Alligator mississippiensis: one gene and its partner. The protein of the gene in region 1 interacts with the protein of each later gene in a pairwise test. Links are inferred from orthologs where the notes say so. Each region holds a gene or a part of one and is shown in the gene's direction. Other genes may lie near its edges. The genes, in order: NR1H2 and NPY.

The links.
Region 2: the proteins of NR1H2 (region 1) and NPY interact in a two-hybrid assay, tested with the Homo sapiens proteins (3 studies listed by BioGRID and IntAct). The link is inferred for Alligator mississippiensis from reciprocal best matches to the Homo sapiens genes NR1H2 and NPY.

What each region holds. Positions count from the first base shown.
Region 1 is NC_081828.1:40,185,148-40,189,050, forward strand, and holds the start of NR1H2 (oxysterols receptor LXR-beta), read left to right. Parts: upstream 1-1,412; 5' UTR 1,413-1,497; intron 1,498-2,259; 5' UTR 2,260-2,382; intron 2,383-2,523; 5' UTR 2,524-2,564; coding exon 2,565-2,595; intron 2,596-2,915; coding exon 2,916-3,062; intron 3,063-3,646; coding exon 3,647-3,903. UniProt on the Homo sapiens protein: Nuclear receptor that exhibits a ligand-dependent transcriptional activation activity. Binds preferentially to double-stranded oligonucleotide direct repeats having the consensus half-site sequence 5'-AGGTCA-3' and 4-nt spacing (DR-4).
Region 2 is NC_081828.1:158,223,944-158,227,846, reverse strand, and holds the start of NPY (pro-neuropeptide Y), read left to right. Parts: upstream 1-1,355; 5' UTR 1,356-1,463; intron 1,464-1,722; exon of another isoform or gene 1,723-1,816; intron 1,817-2,103; coding exon 2,104-2,291; intron 2,292-3,903. UniProt on the Homo sapiens protein: NPY is implicated in the control of feeding and in secretion of gonadotrophin-release hormone.

The sequences.
Region 1 (3,903 bases):
GCTGGGCTGGGGCAAGTGTGGGACAATCCAGCCCCCTCCCTGCCATGAGGCCACTTCCAGAAGCCTTTCCCTTCTAGAAGGTGCCTGCCCAGATCCAACCCCAGTGCAGGGGCATGGGCTGGCACAGGGGACAGGGATAGAGCAGGGGCCTTTCCTTTTTAGGGGGTTCCAGCCCTGAAGCATTGTGGGCCTGGGCAGATGAGTGTGGGGGTGCCCCCATGAGGCAGGCCTTGGGTTTTGAGATCCCTGTAGCATTTCCTGTCCTGGTACAGAGACCTCCCCCCAGCCCCAGCCAGGTCTTCTCTCCTCTCTGGCCCCTGTTGGGGGTGGGGGGGTCCAGTTTTGGGATGGGCGCCTTTCAGCGACTCCTGTATAGGGAGCTCAAACCTGCCCCTTAGAATCCCCACCACCCACGTGACTCCCCAGTACAGGGGCTCTGTCTATGGGCTGGAAAGCAGGAGCAAGCTACAAACCCGGGGGCAGGCTGCATCTGGGGAACCCCTCGAAGTAGGAAGCTCAAGCTTACCCCCCAAAATTTCCCCCCCGCCCCGCCATTCAGCCCAGTGTTGGGCAAGGGGATTGGATGGCACCGGTGCATTTGAGAGGCTATATATTTCCAATGCGGGGGGGGGGGGGGGGCTATATCTCATTAACTACTAAATCCAGCAAACTCAAATTTGCTTCCCATAGCCCCCCCACCGGGTTCCTGCTGCAATTTCCAAGCAGACCGGACCATGCCACGGCCAGCTAAGAGGAAAACACCTTCCAGATTGGGGGGCCTATTTTGGGAATCCCTAAGTCCAGCGTGCTCAGATTTACCCCTCTTAACCCCCGCAGCCCCCGGAATCCCAGTGGCGATTTCCAAGCAGATCGGACCATACTGGAGGGAGCTGAGAAACGCGCCCCCAGGCTGGAAGGGGGTTTCCTATCTCGGGAACCCTTCAATCCAGCGAGCTCCAACTGCTCGCGTCCCCCCCCCCCCCCAGACAAGATTCAGCCGGATCCCGGGATCTGTGCTGCGACTTCCGAGCAGATTGGACCATGTTGCGGGGAGCTGAGAGGGGAAACACGTTTCCAATGTTAGGGGCTGTATGTCGGGAACCCCTCAATCCAGCGGGCTCAGACTTGCCCCCCAAAATACCCCGACTCTGCGCCGCGGCTCCTGGGGGGAGGGGGGCGGTCGCACCCGGCAAGGGATTTTTTTGAGGAGTGACGGGGGTAGAAAGCAGATTTCCGCTCCCAACAGCAACAATGTTGCAACCTCTGCTGCGGGGGGAGGGGGCTAAGTGGGGCAGCCCGAGCCCCTCCGCCGCTCCCCCACCCCCCAGGGCACGGGGTTGGGGGGGACAGCCGGTTCCACCCCCCCTTCCTCCCCAATTGCACCGGATCCGGGGGGGCTGGGCTGGAAGTGACGTGGATGTGGGGGTTCCCGGAAAGGCCCGTGTGAATGCGTGTGCGTGTGTGTGTGTGTGGGGGGGGGCGCCTGGAAGGAGACAGGTATGGGGTCTGGGATCGGGGGCGGGGCCGGGAGGGCTGGGATGGGGGGTAGGGGCAGGCATGGAGCCTGGGATGGCGAGGCTGGGCAGGCCAGGGGGGCTGGGATAAGTGCAGGGTGAGCCAGGCAGGGGGCTGGGATCGGGACAGGGGGCTGGGAGTTTGTGGGGCTGGGGATAGCAGAGGGGGGTCGGGAGGGGAAGGAGGAGAAGGAAGAGGCAGGGTTGGGGGAGGGACAGGACCAGAGTAGGGTCCAGGACCCAGTTATGAGGTGTGGGGGGCAGAGAAGCAGGTGCCTGGGGGGGATTGGGGCTGAGGGGCAGCACTGGGGGTCCGGAGCTGGGATGGGGGGAGTGATGTGGGGCTGGGCTGGGAGGTAAGGGTAGGGCATGAGGGACTGGGATTGGGGGGCCTGGGCAAGGTGGGGGGGGCAGGCTGGGGGACTAGGAGCTTGTAGGGTTTGTGTGAGGAGAGCAGAGGGGTCTGAAAGGAGGAAGGGTGGGCAGCAGGATGGGTCCAGGACTTGGTTATGGAGTGTGTGGGGGGCAGAAGCAGGGGCTCTGGGCAGGGAGTTAGAGGGGCAATCAGGGATGGGAGGAGTTCTGGGGGTTTAGAGCTTGGATTGGATTTGGGAGGGAGTGAGGTGGGGCATGGGTGGCAGCCCCAAGCAGGGGAAGGGGCTGGGGAATGTCGGGGGGGGGGAGTGGTAGGTAAGGGGGCACTCCCTGCCAAACAGGAAGGACCCCACTTCCCTTTGCTTCTCAGAGTTATTCCCCTGGGAGCAGCCCAGACCCTGAAGGATCCCCCAGAACTTGCCCCAGTGCCCCCCAGGGCAGTGCCATGTGGCCCCTGCCCAGCTGAGCCTGCCCCCAGGAGGTGGTGGACATGGTGAGAAGTGGGAGATATTGGTTGTGGGGGGCCTGGGGGTGGTTCCCTCACAGCTCTGTGGGACAGCGGTGAGTGCTGGTGGGGTGGGGTGGGGGGTCTGTTTCTGCTTGTCTGACCATCCTTCTGTCTCTCCTTCTGTAGCACTGGGACTGGGTGCCACTGGCAGCCCACCACGCCCCAACATGGCCACACCGGGATCTGACCTACTGCCGGGTGAGTGACGGGCAAATTGGGGTGTGGGTGTGGGGTCCCTTTCTGTGACAGAACCCAGGCATCCGGGCAGTGGCTGCCCTTCCACCCCCCCCAAGTAACACAATAATCCCTGCAGGAGAACCCAGGCATCAGAAGCCCCATCAGAGGAACCCAGGCTACTTCCCTCTGGTGTCCAGGCATCTGAGGACCCACAGCCTCCCTTCCCTTTGCCCCAGTCCTGCAGCACTCCACCAAAGACCCAGGTGTCTGGGCAGCCACAGGCTTCTCCTTTGGGGATACTACTGCTGACCTCTCTCCCCCACTTCCCCCCCACTTTCCAGAGAACAGGGAGCCTTGGAGCCCAGCCCCCACCAGAGCCCCTGACCCAGAGTTGAAGAACGAGGGCCCCCACTCCCAGCTGGAGTTGGGAGCTGTAGCAGACAGTGAGGTGCCGGGCACCGATGGGGAAGGAACCGCCCAGAGCACTGGTGAGGGGCTGGGGGGTGGTGAATGGGGTGGGAGGGGCTAGAGCAAGGGGTGAGGAGTGCATCTGTGGGTGCTGGGCTCAGCAGGGCAGGGGAGCTGGCTGTCAGTGGGGCTGCAGGGACAGGGGGCCCTGGTGGGGCTGAATGGGTGAGAACTGAGGAGAGTAGCTAAAGAGATGGGGGGCAGTGGGGCATGGAAGCAGTGGAGGGGTATCATTGCAGCCAGTGGGGGGGCAGTAGGGCATGGGGGGTCCAGTGGGGAGCAGTGTATGGGCAGGTCACTGGGACATGGGGAGCAGTGGGGAAGTAATGGGATATAGGGATAGTGGGGCATAAGAGGATAGGGAGCAGTGGGGCATGGAGGGGCAATGGAAGGGTGTCAGAGGGCCCAGTGCGGGGACAGTGGAGAATGGGGGGCAGTGGGGTACGAGGGCTAGTGAGTTGGGGGCAGTGGGGGGGGGTCAGTGAGGCATGGGAAGTAGTTGGGGGGTCAGTGGGGCATAATGGGCAAGGCTCAGCAGGCAAGGCCTGGTGCTCTGAGCCTGACCCTGATGCCCCACTTTGCTCCTCTATCCCTATGGCTGCAGGGGAGGAACCGGTGCGGCGCCACCGCAAGGGCCCGGCGCCTAAGATGCTGGGCACAGAGCGGTGCAGTGTATGCAGGGACAAAGCCTCAGGCTTCCACTACAATGTGCTGAGCTGTGAGGGCTGCAAGGGCTTCTTTCGCCGCAGTGTCATCAAGGGGGCACAGTATGCCTGCCGTGGTGCTGGCCAATGCCACATGGACCCCTACATGCGCCGCAAATGCCAACTGTGTCGCTTTCGCAAGTGCCGCCAGGCTGGC
Region 2 (3,903 bases), about 120 Mb from region 1:
TTGAGTTAATTTATTTCTGTCCATTTTTTTAAATCTTCTGGGTTTATTTTGTAGTCTTAAAAGTAATTGATGGGGTGTTTACTACTCATATTTATAATTTTTTTGTTTTATTTAACTCTAAAGACAAAAAATCAAATAAAATAATATGTTAGCAGAACAGAAATAGGAGGGTAAAAAGATGAGCAGCTAACCAGAAACACCTGATTTGAAAGTCAGGCGATCACTTTATTTGCTAGCATACATTTTTCCTCTTTTGTTAGATTACTGGCTGTTATTTTTTCTGTAGCTCTGCGAATGAAGCCTGAGAGGCTGGCAAATGGATGTGCAGTTGCTGTTTTCTGACACCAAAATGCATAGGCATTAGTGTCATAGAGAAGTAGGGCTTCTCCTGAGGGCTTCTAGTCCAACCCTCTGCCTGAGGCAGGATCATCCCTCTCCAAACTGTCACATATAACCATACTGTAAAAAAACTCTACCTAAGACTACCCTCAGTCCTGATGCACGCAGACCTAACACCCTAACCTGCCACAGGTGAAGCAGGGGAACCAGGGCAGCGAACAACCTCCTGCTTCTGTAAAATGTCAATCTGTGCTCAAGAGGTCCCAGATACTCCTAGGAGCCATTTGAATCCCCTCTTGCTGCTGCTGTCATACGACTTGTTCTTGTCAAACCTTGTGCGCTTTGGAGCCAGTGGAAGCTCTACAGCCCGTTCAGCAACCCCTAGCACAGGTGCCAGAGCGTGGCCCGCAAAGGTGTTTTGCTTGGCGCGCACACCTTGAGGTGGGTGGTGGGAAAGGGGTCAGGGCTGCGCGGCCACAACAGGGATCCAGACCCCTTTTTGCTCCGCTGCCACCTGCCCCTGGCACGCCAACAAGTTGAGGTTGCAGGGGGTTTTGGCACTCTGCCCCAAACTGTTGCCAACCCCTGCTCTAGGGGAAGAGGTCCCTTTTCATTTGGAAGTGCATGTCCACACAGGGCGCAATCTTAGCCCAGCTCTCCTAGGCTCCCTAAACTGCTGTAGTTGTGCTGGTGGCTCTCCCTGCCTCCACGGCCCCAGCGCCTGCTCGTTTTGCTGGGCCAGTTTCTGGGTTTTCACAGGACCCGGGTGCCAAGGCCGGGTTTTCTTCGGCCGGCCGTCAAGGGCTGGAGTCGGTGTAAGGGGCACGGGCAAGGCCACAGAGTCGGAGCGGGACCTCCAGCAGGGCCCGAGCAGCGGGGCCGGCACAGAGCCCGCTTGGGAAGGGCGGGGGTGGGGGAGTCGGAGGGGCAGCCGGAGCCCGCGCCGCGCCACGCCGCGGGGGTTGGGGGGGCAGGCGGGGGTGGGACCGGAGCCACCGAGGCCCCTCCCGTCTCGCCGGGCAAGCCATAAAAAACCCGGGCGAGGCGCTGAGCCGCACACAGCAGCGCCGAGCCACGGGCGAGAGGCTGCAGGAGGAGCGAGAGCCCGGCTGTCCGACAGCAACGTGAGTACGGGCGGCCCCGAGCAGCCCGCCCTGCCGGAGCCTCTCCCCCATCCCGGCGCGGGAAGGACTTGTCCCCGCTCCTGCGCCGAGCTGGGAGCCTCGGGCGCTCCCTGTTCCCGCCCCAGCCCGTCCTGCCCCGGGGTGAGCCCGCCCCGCCCGGCTCTTCTCCGCGCCCGCCGCTGCCCCTGCCCCGCGGAGCTCCTAGTTCGCAGCAAGCTGGTGCCTGCCGCACGCGCCGCCTGCAACCGGCGCGCTGGGCTTCATGCCTGCACCCTCCTGGGTCGGTTAGTTTGCCGCTCCCCCCGGCCCCCAAATCCAAGTGTGTAGTGAAGTACTTGGTAGCGACTAGTAAGGTGAGCGAGGCTGTGCGCTGCCCCCTCAGCAAGGTGCGGGGTGGAGAGAAGGCGCTCAAAGTTTCTCGGCTGCCCGCCAAGCCTTCCTGCATGTGGAGCAGGCTGCAGGACAGCTCCTGGCTGCGCCGGGCAGGCGTGAGCGCTGAGCGCTTGGCCTGGGATTCTTCTGAGGAGAAAAGCAGGTTGGCGCCTGCCGACTTCTGTCTCCTTTCACAAAGTTTTGCCCACAGGCATACAGTTTAATGCTCTTTTCTGCCCCTTTTCCCCAACCCCCCGGTGTTGTGCAGATGCAGGGAACCATGAGGTTGTGGCTGTCCGTGCTGACTTTTGCCCTGTCCTTGCTGATCTGCTTGGGGACACTGGCAGAGGCTTATCCATCCAAACCGGACAATCCTGGAGAGGATGCACCAGCAGAGGACATGGCCAGATACTACTCGGCACTGAGGCACTACATCAATCTCATCACAAGGCAGAGGTAAGGCAATGTGCATCCCAGCGTGGCAATGGAGGGTAGATAAGGCTAGGCTATCCTGTGGGGAGGAAGCCTTTGTATTCCTCAGCACACCTCTTCTCCAGGTCTCTAAGAAACACGGGACAAAAGGTGACTCACAGGAGAATCTTGAATTTTAATCCGTAGAAAAAAGGGGAAATAAATTAACATCTCAGACACTTCTCTATGTGAGAAGTTTCTTCCCTATCTACAGCAGTCAGCAATGAACATTATGTGGAGTGTTGCTTGAACTCCGGTATGATTTATGAATGATGGGTTCTTCATACCTCCCAGGTGTAAAATACAGCCATCTCACCCTGTTCTAGGTAGAGACTTGGCATAAGGTCCTGAGCATGGTCTAGTGGGAGTCTGGAGGAGATGTAAAACAGCCCTGTCAGTACTCTCAACACTCGCCACTTCATTAGCTTAAGAACATAAGATGCAGACAGTAATGGCGGGAAAAGGGCTGTATCAACCTGAGCCTGATTTCCTTCAGTCTTGTTAGGTTTTAACACGCATAGTTTGGACACGAACATAAGCAGTAGGACAGAGGAGGGAGGGAAATAAAATATAACCAACTTGGAGCATGAAAGTGTGAGGCAGAGGAAGAAAACCACTTTTACACTTCCATTGTGGCTACTACGTCTAATATAAGTTTCCTGGAGAAAGGAACTGTGTTCTTGTTGAAGTCCTGTAGTAATTCAGAAATCCTGTGTTTCTTAACAGCTGCTTAACCTAGTAGGTACGACTGGGAAAAAAAAAGAAAAGTTGCACCAGTAATGCAAACCTACCAAACCTTCCTTTCCTTAGAAAAGGGATCTAGGACTGAGCCTAACTAGTTGAAGTCTGGTAAAAAATTAAACTGGAGTGAAAGGTAAAAATACAGCCAGGTGTACAGCCAAATTCCAAGTAAATCCCTTTATTTGGAAGAGTCGTCCAATTTAATTCCTCTGGTTAACAGAGGAATGCACTTCGCTTGAAACCCCTGAACAGCATGTGGCCCAGAAAGGCTTGAATTATCATTCAATTCGTTTAGTATCAGAAATGGATGAGATATCTTTAATTACATTTTCATTGGTTTGTTTCCTCTTGAAGTCTGAAGAATTAAATTAGAAGGAAGGATATCTTTTAACTGAGAGCCTTCCTAGCAAAATGTTGACATTGTCTGGTATGGCACCAATGTCAGAGACAGCAGATGAAGGGACTTATAACAAGACTGCTCTTTAGCCCCACATTTTTAAAAGACGCATCTTCAATTTGCTATCCTGTATAGCATTCATGTTAGCCTGTGATCTGATAACTTTTCATCTGGACCTCTGGCACCTGACAAAATTATCTTTCCACTCTGCCTGTTGTCTTTTCCATCTTTCAGACATGTGAGTTTTTATTGGTCTCCTGCCTCTTCTCTTATATCTCACGTGTCAAATGCAAGTTCTGTCAGCTGATTTAATCATTAGAACAACAGTTCAAACACTACCTATTTTTGAGAAGTGACCACATAAAAATGTTATAACCTGATTCAGTAGACTCACTGTTTGCATGTATTTCATATTCATTTTTGTTTCCTTTAGTGCCAAGAAATAAAGGTGCATTCTTC